2 linked regions of the Arabidopsis thaliana genome follow. The protein of the gene in region 2 interacts with the protein of the main gene of each other region in a biochemical or structural test. Each region holds a gene or a part of one and is shown on either strand. Other genes may lie near its edges.

What was found.
Region 1: the proteins of AIR9 (region 2) and ZWI form a complex in vitro, tested with the Arabidopsis thaliana proteins (one study listed by BioGRID).

What each region holds. Positions count from the first base shown.
Region 1 is NC_003076.8:26,370,411-26,378,398, reverse strand, and holds the start of ZWI (kinesin-like calmodulin-binding protein (ZWICHEL)), read left to right. Parts: upstream 1-1,951; 5' UTR 1,952-2,004; coding exon 2,005-2,144; intron 2,145-2,234; coding exon 2,235-2,463; intron 2,464-2,539; coding exon 2,540-3,106; intron 3,107-3,191; coding exon 3,192-3,291; intron 3,292-3,374; coding exon 3,375-3,556; intron 3,557-3,633; coding exon 3,634-3,749; intron 3,750-3,861; coding exon 3,862-3,964; intron 3,965-4,084; coding exon 4,085-4,237; intron 4,238-4,347; coding exon 4,348-4,494; intron 4,495-4,579; coding exon 4,580-4,780; intron 4,781-5,042; coding exon 5,043-5,207; intron 5,208-5,286; coding exon 5,287-5,391; intron 5,392-5,490; coding exon 5,491-5,628; intron 5,629-5,713; coding exon 5,714-5,908; intron 5,909-6,032; coding exon 6,033-6,159; intron 6,160-6,239; coding exon 6,240-6,442; intron 6,443-6,527; coding exon 6,528-6,710; intron 6,711-6,780; coding exon 6,781-6,876; intron 6,877-6,962; coding exon 6,963-7,160; intron 7,161-7,480; and 3 more. Other genes in the region: CHY1 (beta-hydroxyisobutyryl-CoA hydrolase 1), read left to right, coding at 69-153, 236-321, 463-584, 819-879, 977-1,075, 1,142-1,243, 1,320-1,361, 1,438-1,569. UniProt on the Arabidopsis thaliana protein: Minus-end microtubule-dependent motor protein involved in the regulation of cell division and trichome morphogenesis through microtubules bundling. Possesses basal and microtubule-stimulated ATPase activities.
Region 2 is NC_003071.7:14,626,159-14,630,866, reverse strand, and holds the start of AIR9 (Outer arm dynein light chain 1 protein), read left to right. Parts: upstream 1-1,683; 5' UTR 1,684-2,057; coding exon 2,058-2,220; intron 2,221-2,549; coding exon 2,550-3,379; intron 3,380-3,477; coding exon 3,478-3,549; intron 3,550-3,829; coding exon 3,830-3,895; intron 3,896-3,985; coding exon 3,986-4,057; intron 4,058-4,141; coding exon 4,142-4,207; intron 4,208-4,339; coding exon 4,340-4,402; intron 4,403-4,492; coding exon 4,493-4,558; intron 4,559-4,708. Other genes in the region: ACD11 (Glycolipid transfer protein (GLTP) family protein), read right to left, coding at 1-29, 251-442. UniProt on the Arabidopsis thaliana protein: Microtubule-associated protein that may be involved in the maturation of cell plates and proper insertion of cross-walls after cytokinesis.

The sequences.
Region 1 (7,988 bases), on a different chromosome or scaffold from region 2:
TTAAACATGTCCATGGATGACAAATAGGTCGCTCCAAAATATGCTCATATCTTTCGACTTTCTCCAAGGTTTTTGCCATGCCTGAGACAGCTCTGGGGCTCTTTCCAGATGTAGGCGCCTCCTACTTCTTGTCAAGGCTCCCTGGTTTTTTTGGTAACAGAAGCTATATTTCCTTTTTTTGCATCTTCTTAAAGCCACCAAAGTTTGAAAATGCTTTCTTGTCTTTTTTGTTCAGGGGAGTATGTTGGCCTCACAGGAGCTAGATTAGATGGTGCTGAAATGCTTGCTTGTGGCCTTGCAACTCATTTTGTGCCTTCAACGGTATGAACTTCCTTTGCGTGCGTCTATTTCGTAAGACATTCTGAATTGACTTTACACATCAGATATTGTATAGCTACTAGTGTCAAGCACTATCTGCTTCACCAAGGATTGCTACTTAGTTAGGTTTACTCCTTTCCACAGAGGTTGACTGCATTAGAAGCAGATCTTTGCAGAATTAATTCAAATGATCCAACTTTTGCCTCAACAATTCTCGATGCATACACCCAGCATCCGCGCCTGAAACAGCAGAGTGCTTACCGCAGGCAAGTCTATATGATTTTTATCTCTTTTACTCTTTCTACTAGTATGGTTTTACCTGATTACATTTTCTCGGTTATTGACCATGATTATAACACATTTTTTCTATAATTTCAATTTCGTATTGCTGTCAGGTTTTCAATCGCTCTTTACAGAACTCATTTCTCATCTGATCTTTAATTGAAAATTTATAAAAGTGCAGAGGACAGTTATTTTTTATCTCCCCGTTTGTTGCGCAGGTTAGATGTTATTGATAGGTGTTTCTCAAGGAGAACAGTCGAAGAAATTATATCTGCACTTGTAAGCTTTTCATTTATATATAGAGATGTTGACTTGCGATCCTGAGTTGACTGATTTACCTTTGACAACGCACTCTACCATCATATGTGTTGCTTAGGAGAGAGAGGCCACTCAAGAAGCAGATGGTTGGATCTCAGCTACCATTCAAGCATTGAAGAAGGGTTCACCAGCAAGCCTTAAAATCTCTCTTAGATCGGTTAGTTCCCAGAATGTGCATCACAGGCAATGTTGACAAAGAGCTGACTGTGAGTATATATTTCAGATAAGGGAAGGGCGATTGCAGGGGGTGGGGCAGTGTCTTATCCGCGAGTATAGAATGGTGTGTCATGTGATGAAGGGAGAAATCAGCAAAGATTTTGTGGAGGTTTTGCAAGCTTTTTCCATCTGAAACCGTCTTTGTTGTAGACCGTAGTTACAACAGCGTGTCTTTACTTATGCAGGGGTGCAGAGCCATATTGGTAGACAAAGATAAGAACCCAAAGGTTTAACAAGTCTCTCCATTTGTTATTTGTGGTTGGTAATATGTGACATTGTTGATAACAATATCTGAAATTATAGTGGGAGCCAAGGCGACTGGAGGACATGAAGGATAGCATGGTGGAGCAGTACTTCGAGAGAGTGGAACGGGAGGATGATCTAAAGCTTCCGCCAAGGAATAACTTGCCTGCTTTAGGGATCGCAAAGCTGTGAAGTGGAGAAGGTGATGGAGCACTATTGTTTACGTCTGTGGGAAAGAAAAAAGAAAATAAATGTAACAACACTTGTGTTGAATAGGACTTGCATACATTACATAAATCATTATTGTATTTGAGAATTGACACCAAAGCAGCAGAGCAGAATTGTGTTAAGATTTGTTAATGGTGTTGGAGGCACAACCATGGCAAACGGACGTGGAAGCACGTCTATAGTCATTGTTCATTTATTTGATTGAGATTCCTCCTTGGTCTCATCTTCTGAAAACGAAAAATAATTAGAAAATCAGGTGAATCGTGAAGTATTGAATGAGAAGAGGCAATTAAAAATCTCCCGTGACTCTCGTCTCCCCATCTCTCTCTCTCCCTCTGCCCAAATTTCTGGGGCAAATTTGTTCATCAGATCTACTACAATCTCTCTTTTTCTTCGGGTATGGAGGGCCAACGAGGCAGTAATTCTTCGTTGAGCTCTGGCAATGGCACCGAAGTCGCCACCGACGTTTCTTCTTGCTTCTATGTTCCCAATCCCTCTGGAACCGATTTCGATGCCGAGTCGTCTTCTCTTCCTCCTCTGTAAGTCTTCTTTGAATTTTTAAAAACATTCACTCTCTTGCTGCTGTCTCTGTTGATCCTTCTTCTTTGAAAATTTGAAAACATTCTTAGTCTCTCGCTCTGTCACAGCTCCCCAGCTCCTCAAGTGGCATTGTCAATTCCTGCGGAGCTTGCCGCCGCCATTCCCCTCATCGATCGCTTCCAGGTTGAAGCTTTTCTGCGGCTAATGCAGAAACAAATCCAGTCTGCTGGGAAGCGTGGCTTCTTCTATTCCAAAAAGTCCTCTGGCTCCAATGTCCGCGAGCGCTTCACATTTGAGGATATGCTTTGCTTTCAAAAGGTTTTTCTTTCCCCCCCTTTCTTCCCCATTGACAATCCATTGACTGAATATGTCTCTCTCCCCTTCCTTCCTTCAGGATCCAATCCCCACATCTCTCCTCAAGATTAACAGCGATCTCGTCAGCCGTGCTACCAAGTTGTTTCATCTCATCTTAAAATATATGGGTGTTGATTCATCTGATCGATCTACGCCTCCCAGTTTAGATGAACGCATTGACCTCGTTGGAAAGCTCTTCAAAAAAACTTTGAAGCGTGTTGAACTCAGGGACGAACTTTTTGCCCAAATCTCCAAACAGACTAGACATAATCCTGACAGGCAATACTTGATCAAAGCTTGGGAATTGATGTACTTATGTGCCTCCTCTATGCCTCCTAGCAAAGATATCGGTGGATATCTATCTGAGTATATTCATAATGTCGCACACGATGCAACTATTGAACCGGATGCTCAGGTTCTTGCTGTTAACACTTTGAAAGCTTTAAAGCGCTCTATCAAAGCTGGTCCTAGGCACACCACACCTGGTCGTGAAGAAATTGAAGCCCTTTTGACCGGTAGAAAGCTCACAACCATTGTCTTCTTTCTCGATGAAACTTTTGAAGAAATTTCATATGACATGGCTACCACAGTGTCTGATGCTGTTGAGGTATCTTCTTGCTTTCTTTTTTCATAATTTACCGCTGATCATATTCTTGTCCCTTTTTCTCTCACTGCATTGACATCTGTTTCAGGAGCTAGCTGGAACAATTAAACTATCAGCTTTCTCTAGCTTTAGTTTGTTTGAATGTCGTAAAGTTGTTTCAAGTTCTAAATCATCTGATCCCGGAAATGGTATGCTTTCATATGACTGGCTTCGTCATATATTGTGAAGTAATACAACATTATCGATCATTTTTCTATCTGTGCACTTGCAGAGGAATATATAGGATTGGATGATAACAAGTATATTGGAGATCTCCTCGCAGAATTTAAAGCTATTAAAGATCGAAATAAAGGAGAGATACTACACTGCAAACTGGTATTTAAAAAAAAATTATTCCGAGAGTCTGATGAAGCTGTAACAGATCTGATGTTTGTGCAACTTTCGTATGTTCAAGTGAGCATTTTCTTCATTGGTGACATTTATTTCCACACAAAAGGCTTGCCTTTCGTTGCTGACACACATATATGCAGCTGCAACATGACTATTTGCTAGGAAACTATCCTGTTGGGAGGGACGATGCTGCACAGCTTTGTGCCTTGCAAATTCTTGTTGGGATTGGGTTTGTCAATAGTCCAGAGTCATGCATGTTAGTTTTCTTAAGCTCCGCCATTGACTTTATTTTAGTTGTCCGATACTTTATTTTTCCAATTTTCCTCCCTTAACAATATCATTTCCTTTCTCAATGTATCACATATCAGTGATTGGACATCACTTCTTGAGCGGTTTTTGCCAAGACAAATAGCAATAACCCGAGCAAAGCGTGAATGGGAATTGGATATCCTTGCTCGCTACCGTTCAATGGTAGGAATAGTTCTATGCATTTTGATTGTCTTCCCCTTTCTAGATACCTTTGGCAAATAAAAACCCATTGAAGTGATGGCATGGTAAAATGATATTTCGTATGTGTATGTGGGCATGTAGGAGAACGTGACCAAAGATGATGCAAGACAACAATTTCTACGGATACTGAAGGCACTGCCATACGGGAATTCAGTTTTTTTTAGCGTACGCAAGATAGATGATCCGATCGGTCTTTTACCTGGGCGAATCATTTTGGGTATCAACAAACGTGGGGTTAGTCTCAATATAAATGTTATACATTATGACTTTAAAAAAACTGTTATTGTTGTTTGGAATTCAAATCTATGTTGTTGGATTTGAATTTGTTGTTTGCTTTCTTGTAGGTTCACTTTTTTCGACCGGTTCCTAAAGAATATCTGCACTCTGCTGAACTACGTGACATCATGCAATTTGGCAGCAGTAACACTGCTGTCTTTTTCAAAATGAGAGTCGCTGGTGTTCTTCACATATTTCAGTTCGAGACAAAACAGGTTTAAACATCACTATTTGTGGATCATTATATTATGAAGCAATTCCTTATGAGATATTCAATTTGGGTAACTTGTATGTTTGTAGGGAGAAGAAATTTGTGTTGCTTTGCAAACACATATAAATGATGTCATGTTGCGTCGTTACTCCAAAGCTCGATCTGCTGCCAATAGCTTGGTTAATGGAGATATATCTTGTAGTTCTAAGCCGCAAAATTTTGAAGTGTATGAAAAACGTTTGCAAGATTTGTCTAAGGCTTATGAAGAGTCCCAAAAGAAGATTGAGAAGGTACACATTCTAACAAATTTCTTATTTATTCTTCAATGTAAAATTGAATATAATAGAGGGAGGCTGATCTTTGTTTAAATACATGAAATAACTTATTGTAGTTGGATTTTTTCATGGTTTTTATGCTTGGTAGTCTTGAGATATTTCAGTATATATCACCCTCCTATCTTATGTTATTGTATGTAGAATGTTATACCATGACCTCTTTTGTTTTAGAGTGGCATGCTGATGAACTATTCGTATGTTTTATGTTGTTGTATAGTTGATGGATGAACAACAAGAGAAAAATCAGCAAGAAGTTACTCTGCGTGAAGAGTTAGAAGCTATACACAATGGTTTGGAGCTTGAAAGGAGAAAATTGTTGGAGGTTACTTTAGACCGAGATAAACTTAGGTCATTGTGTGACGAGAAGGGAACAACTATTCAAGTTAGTTATAACCTAACTTTTGTCTTTCTTTTGATGCTTGGTTGAAGTTATTTAATGATTTATTCTATATATGCTATAGTCCTTGATGTCTGAACTGCGAGGAATGGAAGCAAGGTTGGCAAAGTCGGGCAACACAAAATCAAGTAAAGAGACAAAATCAGAATTAGCCGAAATGAATAATCAGGTGAATATTATGTGTTTAAATCTAATTCATTGTAATCATTGAGTTGTTGTTTTTTGTTTCCAATTCTGCTTTCCTTTGACAATGAATTTTAAGTCACAGATATTATACAAGATCCAAAAGGAGTTAGAAGTTCGAAATAAGGAATTGCATGTCGCAGTTGATAATTCAAAGAGGTTGTTGAGTGAAAACAAGATATTGGAGCAAAATCTCAATATTGAAAAGAAGAAAAAAGAGGAGGTGAATTCTATGTATTAGATTTATTGAAGATTTCAAATTGAGAAGTATCAAATACTTGCGTATTGTTGACATCTCATTATTTCAGGTTGAAATTCATCAAAAGAGATATGAACAAGAAAAAAAGGTGTTAAAGCTTCGAGTTTCTGAACTTGAAAATAAGCTTGAAGTACTTGCTCAAGACTTGGATAGTGCTGAGTCTACGATTGAAAGTAAGAATTCTGACATGCTGCTGTTGCAAAATAACTTGAAAGAACTTGAGGAGTTAAGAGAAATGAAAGAGGTAATGGTACTCTTTTGTCTTCTTCATTATTTAATTTTGTTTCTGTTTGAATGATGATAATGTATTTTCGCGATTCAAAATTGAAGTAGAGGGATGTGTTTACATTCCAATTTCATTTTCTTAGGACATTGACAGAAAAAATGAGCAAACAGCTGCCATTTTGAAAATGCAAGGAGCCCAACTTGCTGAGCTAGAAATACTTTATAAGGAAGAACAAGTTTTAAGGAAAAGATACTATAATACCATAGAAGGTAACATAATGCTCAAGTATGTACAATGATGTTCATTGCTTTTAAAAAAGAATTTTACTAACATTTTTATTTGATTGTAGATATGAAAGGGAAGATTAGAGTTTATTGTCGAATAAGACCTCTAAATGAAAAAGAGAGTTCAGAGAGGGAAAAACAAATGCTGACAACTGTGGATGAGTTTACTGTTGAACATCCATGGAAAGACGACAAAAGAAAGCAACACATATATGATCGCGTATTTGACATGCGTGCTAGTCAAGATGATATCTTTGAAGACACAAAGGTATTATTGATATGTAACTGTGTTCATTTACCTTTCATCCTTTGTTATTTTCTTGTGGTTACTAACATCGTTTTCCTTTTAACAGTATTTGGTACAGTCGGCTGTAGATGGGTATAACGTTTGCATCTTTGCATATGGTCAAACTGGTTCTGGAAAAACTTTCACTATATATGGGCATGAGAGCAATCCTGGACTCACACCTCGAGCTACAAAGGAACTGTTCAACATATTAAAGCGAGATAGCAAGAGATTTTCATTTTCTCTAAAGGTAATTTGTTATCCTAATAGATGATGTGATAAAAGATTATGACATCAACTGACTACAAAAAGTTATGCAGGCATATATGGTGGAACTTTATCAAGACACACTTGTAGACCTTTTGTTACCAAAAAGTGCAAGACGCTTGAAACTAGAGATTAAAAAAGATTCAAAGGTATTGTGAGATATATCTATTTTAACTAGGTTATAACTAGATTGTAGACACGTAAGTTTGATCTTATGCATAAAATATTTTCTCAGGGAATGGTCTTTGTAGAGAATGTGACAACTATTCCTATATCAACTTTGGAGGAACTGCGAATGATTCTTGAACGGGGATCGGAACGACGACATGTTTCTGGAACAAATATGAATGAAGAAAGCTCAAGATCTCACCTCATATTATCAGTTGTTATTGAAAGTATTGATCTTCAAACCCAGTCTGCTGCGAGGGGCAAGGTGACAAAATTCACTATGTTTTTCTTTATTGACTCATTATCATTTTTCACAGGATTTAGTAGCATTTAGGGATTTTAAGGAAATAGGAGTTTCTTTAGATTTTCATGCTTAGTCTACCGAAGAAAAATATAGTAACATTAATCTTGTTTAAGAGAGATATTATTTTACAGCTCAAATCTTTGGTCTGGTACAAAATGTTAAACCTTTATGTACACAATCCATATTATTAGTCAATGATATGCCCTCCATTGTTAAACCCATATCACCTGATCATGGTGGTATCTTCTACAATATTCTGAATTTTTGTTTGTTATTTGCAGCTGAGTTTTGTGGATCTTGCTGGTTCTGAGAGAGTTAAAAAGTCGGGCTCAGCTGGTTGTCAACTCAAAGAAGCTCAAAGTATCAACAAATCACTTTCTGCATTAGGTGATGTTATTGGTGCTTTATCTTCTGGCAACCAGCATATTCCTTATAGGAATCACAAGCTAACGATGTTGATGAGCGATTCATTGGGCGGCAATGCCAAGACGTTAATGTTTGTTAATGTGTCTCCAGCCGAATCAAATTTGGACGAGACGTACAATTCTCTTCTGTAAGTCATGAGTTCCCATATATATATAACATAAATCAAATATGCTTAGTGTAAAAATGGATAATCCATATTGTTTTTTTTCCTCCTTTGATTCCAGATATGCATCGAGAGTGAGAACGATCGTGAATGATCCCAGCAAACATATATCATCCAAAGAGATGGTGCGATTGAAGAAGTTGGTAGCATACTGGAAAGAGCAAGCCGGTAAAAAAGGTGAGGAAGAAGACTTGGTGGAT
Region 2 (4,708 bases):
GAACTCGACGCCCTCACAAGATCATCAACCTATAGTCACATTCACAAGTTTTAACATTTCATTTTCCAAAACATTCATCCTCCAGATAAACAAACACAACATCCATTTCCATCAAATTAGCAAAATTCAGTCTGAGTACTACAGAAACTAAATCAATTCCAACATCTCACAATATACTCAATAGTACATGAAAGTGAACACAACTAGAAAAAGATTCGGACTTTGATTCAAATCTACTACATAAACAAACCTTGGCAACATAGTCCATTTCCGCAAACTTAAAAGCTATTCCAAGGCAACCAAAGAGAGGCGAGACCAGAGAGCAAGCGTGAGAGAATTGCGTTACAGGAACTTCCGGATTCGGTGAATTCACGATGATTGCTAGTTTTTTGAAAGCGGCTGAGATTTTTCTCAGTGGCTTATCTGCTTCCGAATCCGCCATGGAAGATCTCTCTCCTTCTCTCTCTCTGTCGTCTTCTCCTGATTAACAAGTTTTGTTCTTGTGTGATTATTCCGATTGGTGTTCTGTGATTTGCCGCGGAATCTACTTTGCTGCAAGACGACTCAAAAAGGCGGCGATTCGCTGATCACTAATTGTCTTTGTTTGGCGTTCAGATCATTCCTATCCTTCATCTGGATAGTATTATCCTCACCGTGTGAATGAATAACCGAATCCAACCGAAATAACCTGTAGGAATACCGAAATAATAGAATTGAATCCGAACCAAATTCGGTTTTGTGCAATTGAACCGAAGAAACATAAATACGTATGCTTAAACTATAGATAGTAGTTGGGCAATAGACTTGTGTTGAAGCTACTTGAAGAAAAGATGATGATGATGATGAATTATGAATAATGTTCAAGAATTAAGATATGAAGCTTTCATTGGGATACTTTAGTTAAAAAGATTATCATCATCAACAAATGTGATTTTTTTCAAACTTTCATTTATGTTCCACTCTGGCTATACATATTTTTGTTTTTCGATTCTTTTCATTGATTAAAACAAGGTACCAAAATTATAGGTAGGGGATAATAATATTTAGTGGGTTATACTAATAATTATTGGGTAGAAGGAATGGCGGATGCAATTATTTTGATTACTTATAAAAGATAGTGACATTAATTGATTCTTAGGTGGAGCTTATTTTAAAATTAATTGAAGATTTTTATGAGTAATAATTTAGGATAAGTAGAACACAAAAAATTTAAATTTTTTTAAAAAGGAATCTGTTTTCTTGACTTTTTGAGCACATCATTTTATCGTTGGTTAAATAAATAAAAACAATTTCATCAGTTTTCGAAAAACGTCCACTTGCCATTTAACTCTGCCTTTACGGTTTCCGCCAATTTAAAATTCTCTAAATTTTCAAACTTTTCTCTCTCACCATCAAATTCTCTAATTTATTCTCTTTTTATAATGTTCCTCTCTTTTCTTCTGGATAATTACTTTTCATTATAGTCCCTATACTACTATAATTATCCACAACTGTCTCATACTTTTATAACCGTTTTATCATTTTCACCGGGTAAACTTAGAAACAAAATTGAGTTTCCGACATCGCATGATAATTTTAAATGTAAGGTACTTGCATGGAACTTTAAAAAATAAGAGGGTGAAAAACATAAATTAAAGTATAATATAGGGGTGTATATTTTGGGTTAAACATATTACACAACACACTCTTCCGCTACACACTGTTTACACTGTTCCTTACTTTTTTTTCTTTTTCTTTCGCCAACATCTCTCTCTCCAGCTATTTTCCCTCAATTTTTAATCGTCGTTTTCACTTTTGTTCGATTCCATTCAAAAAAGCTTCAATCAGTGAGCTGCGTTTTTTATTCTCTGCTTCATCCAGATCTACATTTCTCTGTTTCAGCCTCTATTGCTCTGTTTAACAAGTTCTCAACGGCCGGAATCGTCGCCGGGATTCTCGCCACCGGAGTTATTGTGAAACGGTGAAAATGGGTTTTTGATTTTACTGGTTACTTCATTGTTCAGTGCAGTAAGTATTTATTTTCCTTGTCCTGTCTTACTATTGGTTTATTTCCTTAAATGAAGAAACTTTATTTTCCCCGAATTTCTTCATTGCTAAAAACTCTCACTTTCTGCAATTTCGTCTGCTTGTTTCACTCACAAGAATTTCACATTTTTTTCAAAAATAAACACTGCTTAATGCGGATTGGTTGTTCACAAAAGGACCAAAAAATCGTAGAAGGTAACCGACAGTGTTAGCTGAAAGAAGCCAGAAACTCTGTTTGTCTGTGTTCTTGAATTTAGACAATCTACTAAAGTCCGTACTTTTTTTATTAGTAAATCCTGTTATGACCGGACCCAATAAAGTAGAGTAATTGTTACATGCGCGTTCCATTCCAAACAATGTGCGTGGGCCACTTGGTCATTTGATTCTGTATTTTTACTTCGGAGAAATTTGGATACAACAAATAAAGTAGAGAGATTGTGTATAATGAATAAAGTTTCCTTTTTTTTGTTAATGATTTGATCATGCGTCTCTTCTGATTTGAGTTTCTTTTGTATCTGCATAAGTTTGGATTGATTTCACTATGGAGGAAGTAGCAGCTAAGGTTGAGGAAGAAACTGTGGAAACCAATGTAGATGCAGTGAAAGAGGACAATGCAACTATAGCTAATGAAAGCAGAAGCCCAGAGAGTGTTTCTGCAGTGTCTGTGGTGTCAAATCGAGCTGCTTCTACTAAAAAGAAACCAGTTATTAGTTCGAATTTAATAAAGCCAACTGCGTCTTCTTCATTACGGGTCTCGGGTACTACGCCTGTGACTATCAGGAGAAATAGTACTGGAGGAGTAACAGAGAATTTAGCTGGTACCTCTAAGGTTCTGCCTAAGCAAGTGAGTACTACTGCCTCACGTACTGATCCGGTAAGACGATCACTTCCAGAATTGAGGAAGAGCTCTGTGTCTTCTCTTTCTGCTAAGACTGTATCCAAACCAAGCCTTTCCGAGAGTAAAAAGTCTGTCCCCGTATCACCAGGTAGTCGGAGTTTGACAAAGTCAACTGGGTTTAGTTTAAGTAAGCCTGAGTCTTCTGCTAGACCAGCCATGAGTGTTTCTGTGTCTTCGAAAAGAGCTCCATCTTCATCAGTTGACAGTAGTGGCAGCAGGACTAGTAGTGGAAGACTACACTCTACTCTCACAAGTGGGAGGACAGTTTCTAAAGTTTCTTCTCCCTCTGCGGGATCATCACCTTCTGTTTCTAGCAGTATAAGATCAAAGTCATTTTCGTCACCTCTAGACCGGACTTCCAACTTCTCTGGACGGAAGAAAACATCTACCCCTGAAAGCCGTGATTCACGACTCATTATTCTTCCAAAGGTGGAGGTTAAAGCTGGCGATGACATGGTACAAATTCACTTTCTCTTTGTACTTGCTAGATTTTCATACAATAGGTTCAATCCTTTCTGTGGTTGTTGATTAATGGATGTCTGTAATTGCTTAAGAGATTGGATCTTAGAGGCCACAGGATTCGCAGTCTAACCTCTGGTGGCTTACACTTATCACCAAACTTAGAGGTAAACTTATATTTCCATAGTAACTTCACAGTGTTCTAGTGCAATGCTTTGTGACAATGATGTTTATGTACATATATGCCAATTGTGGATTTGAATAGAAGTAGGGAGGATTAGTTATTTACATCTCACGAGGAAAAACTTTGAATCTTCTTAGTGAGTTCCTGCTGCTAGTTTTAAAAATCTCCGAACGACAAATACAATCTTTTGGACACTAAATATGCCGCCTCATTTATGCGAGTATTCAACTTATTTTAATTTCCTCTACTTCTACTCTTTCCAGTTTGTCTATCTTAGAGACAATCTCCTATCTACGCTGGAAGGTATTGAGATATTGAATCGAGTCAAGGTCAGTAAATTCATTTTCCTGGGGTTCTTGGTTTTTAATAGATATATATGCTCACACTAGCTATGATTCTGTTACTATCATTAATCTCAGGTTCTGGATTTGAGTTTTAATGATTTCAAAGGGCCTGGATTTGAACCACTTGAGAATTGCAAAATGCTGCAGGTTTCTTTCTCTCCCATTCTATCCTTGGTTCTTCCTTCATGAGTGCTATCTGATGAACATTTAAATCTTATATTACTTGGGCAGCAACTTTATCTTGCTGGAAATCAGATAACTTCACTTGCTAGTCTGCCTCAACTTCCAAACTTAGAGGTGAGCATCAGAAATTACAAAGCCTCTTGTTCCAATTTTGTGCCAAATAATTGCTATCAAGTCTTCATACTTACATACTTGTGGATTGCCCCTTACTTTTTCCAACTATCACCTTTCTTGTTCCCATGGTAGTTTCTCTCGGTTGCTCAAAATAAATTAAAGTCACTTGCAATGGCAAGCCAGCCCCGGCTTCAGGTAGATTTTCTGTTTCAGAATTGAGGTTGTTTTCAGTACCTTGTTACAAGTCATAGTTTTTTAGAGATCTTATAAATTTTTTTTTCTCAGGTACTAGCAGCAAGTAAGAACAAGATAACAACTCTGAAGGACTTTCCGTATCTACCAGTTCTTGAGGTTTCAATCTTTATGTTCCCAATTTTTATTTTTTTCACACATTTCTTATTTGGCTGATTGGTTGTCGCATGCACTGCTTTAATAAAACATCTTATGGGACATGAGATTACCTAGTATAAAAGATTGAAAAACCACCACTTATGGGAAATT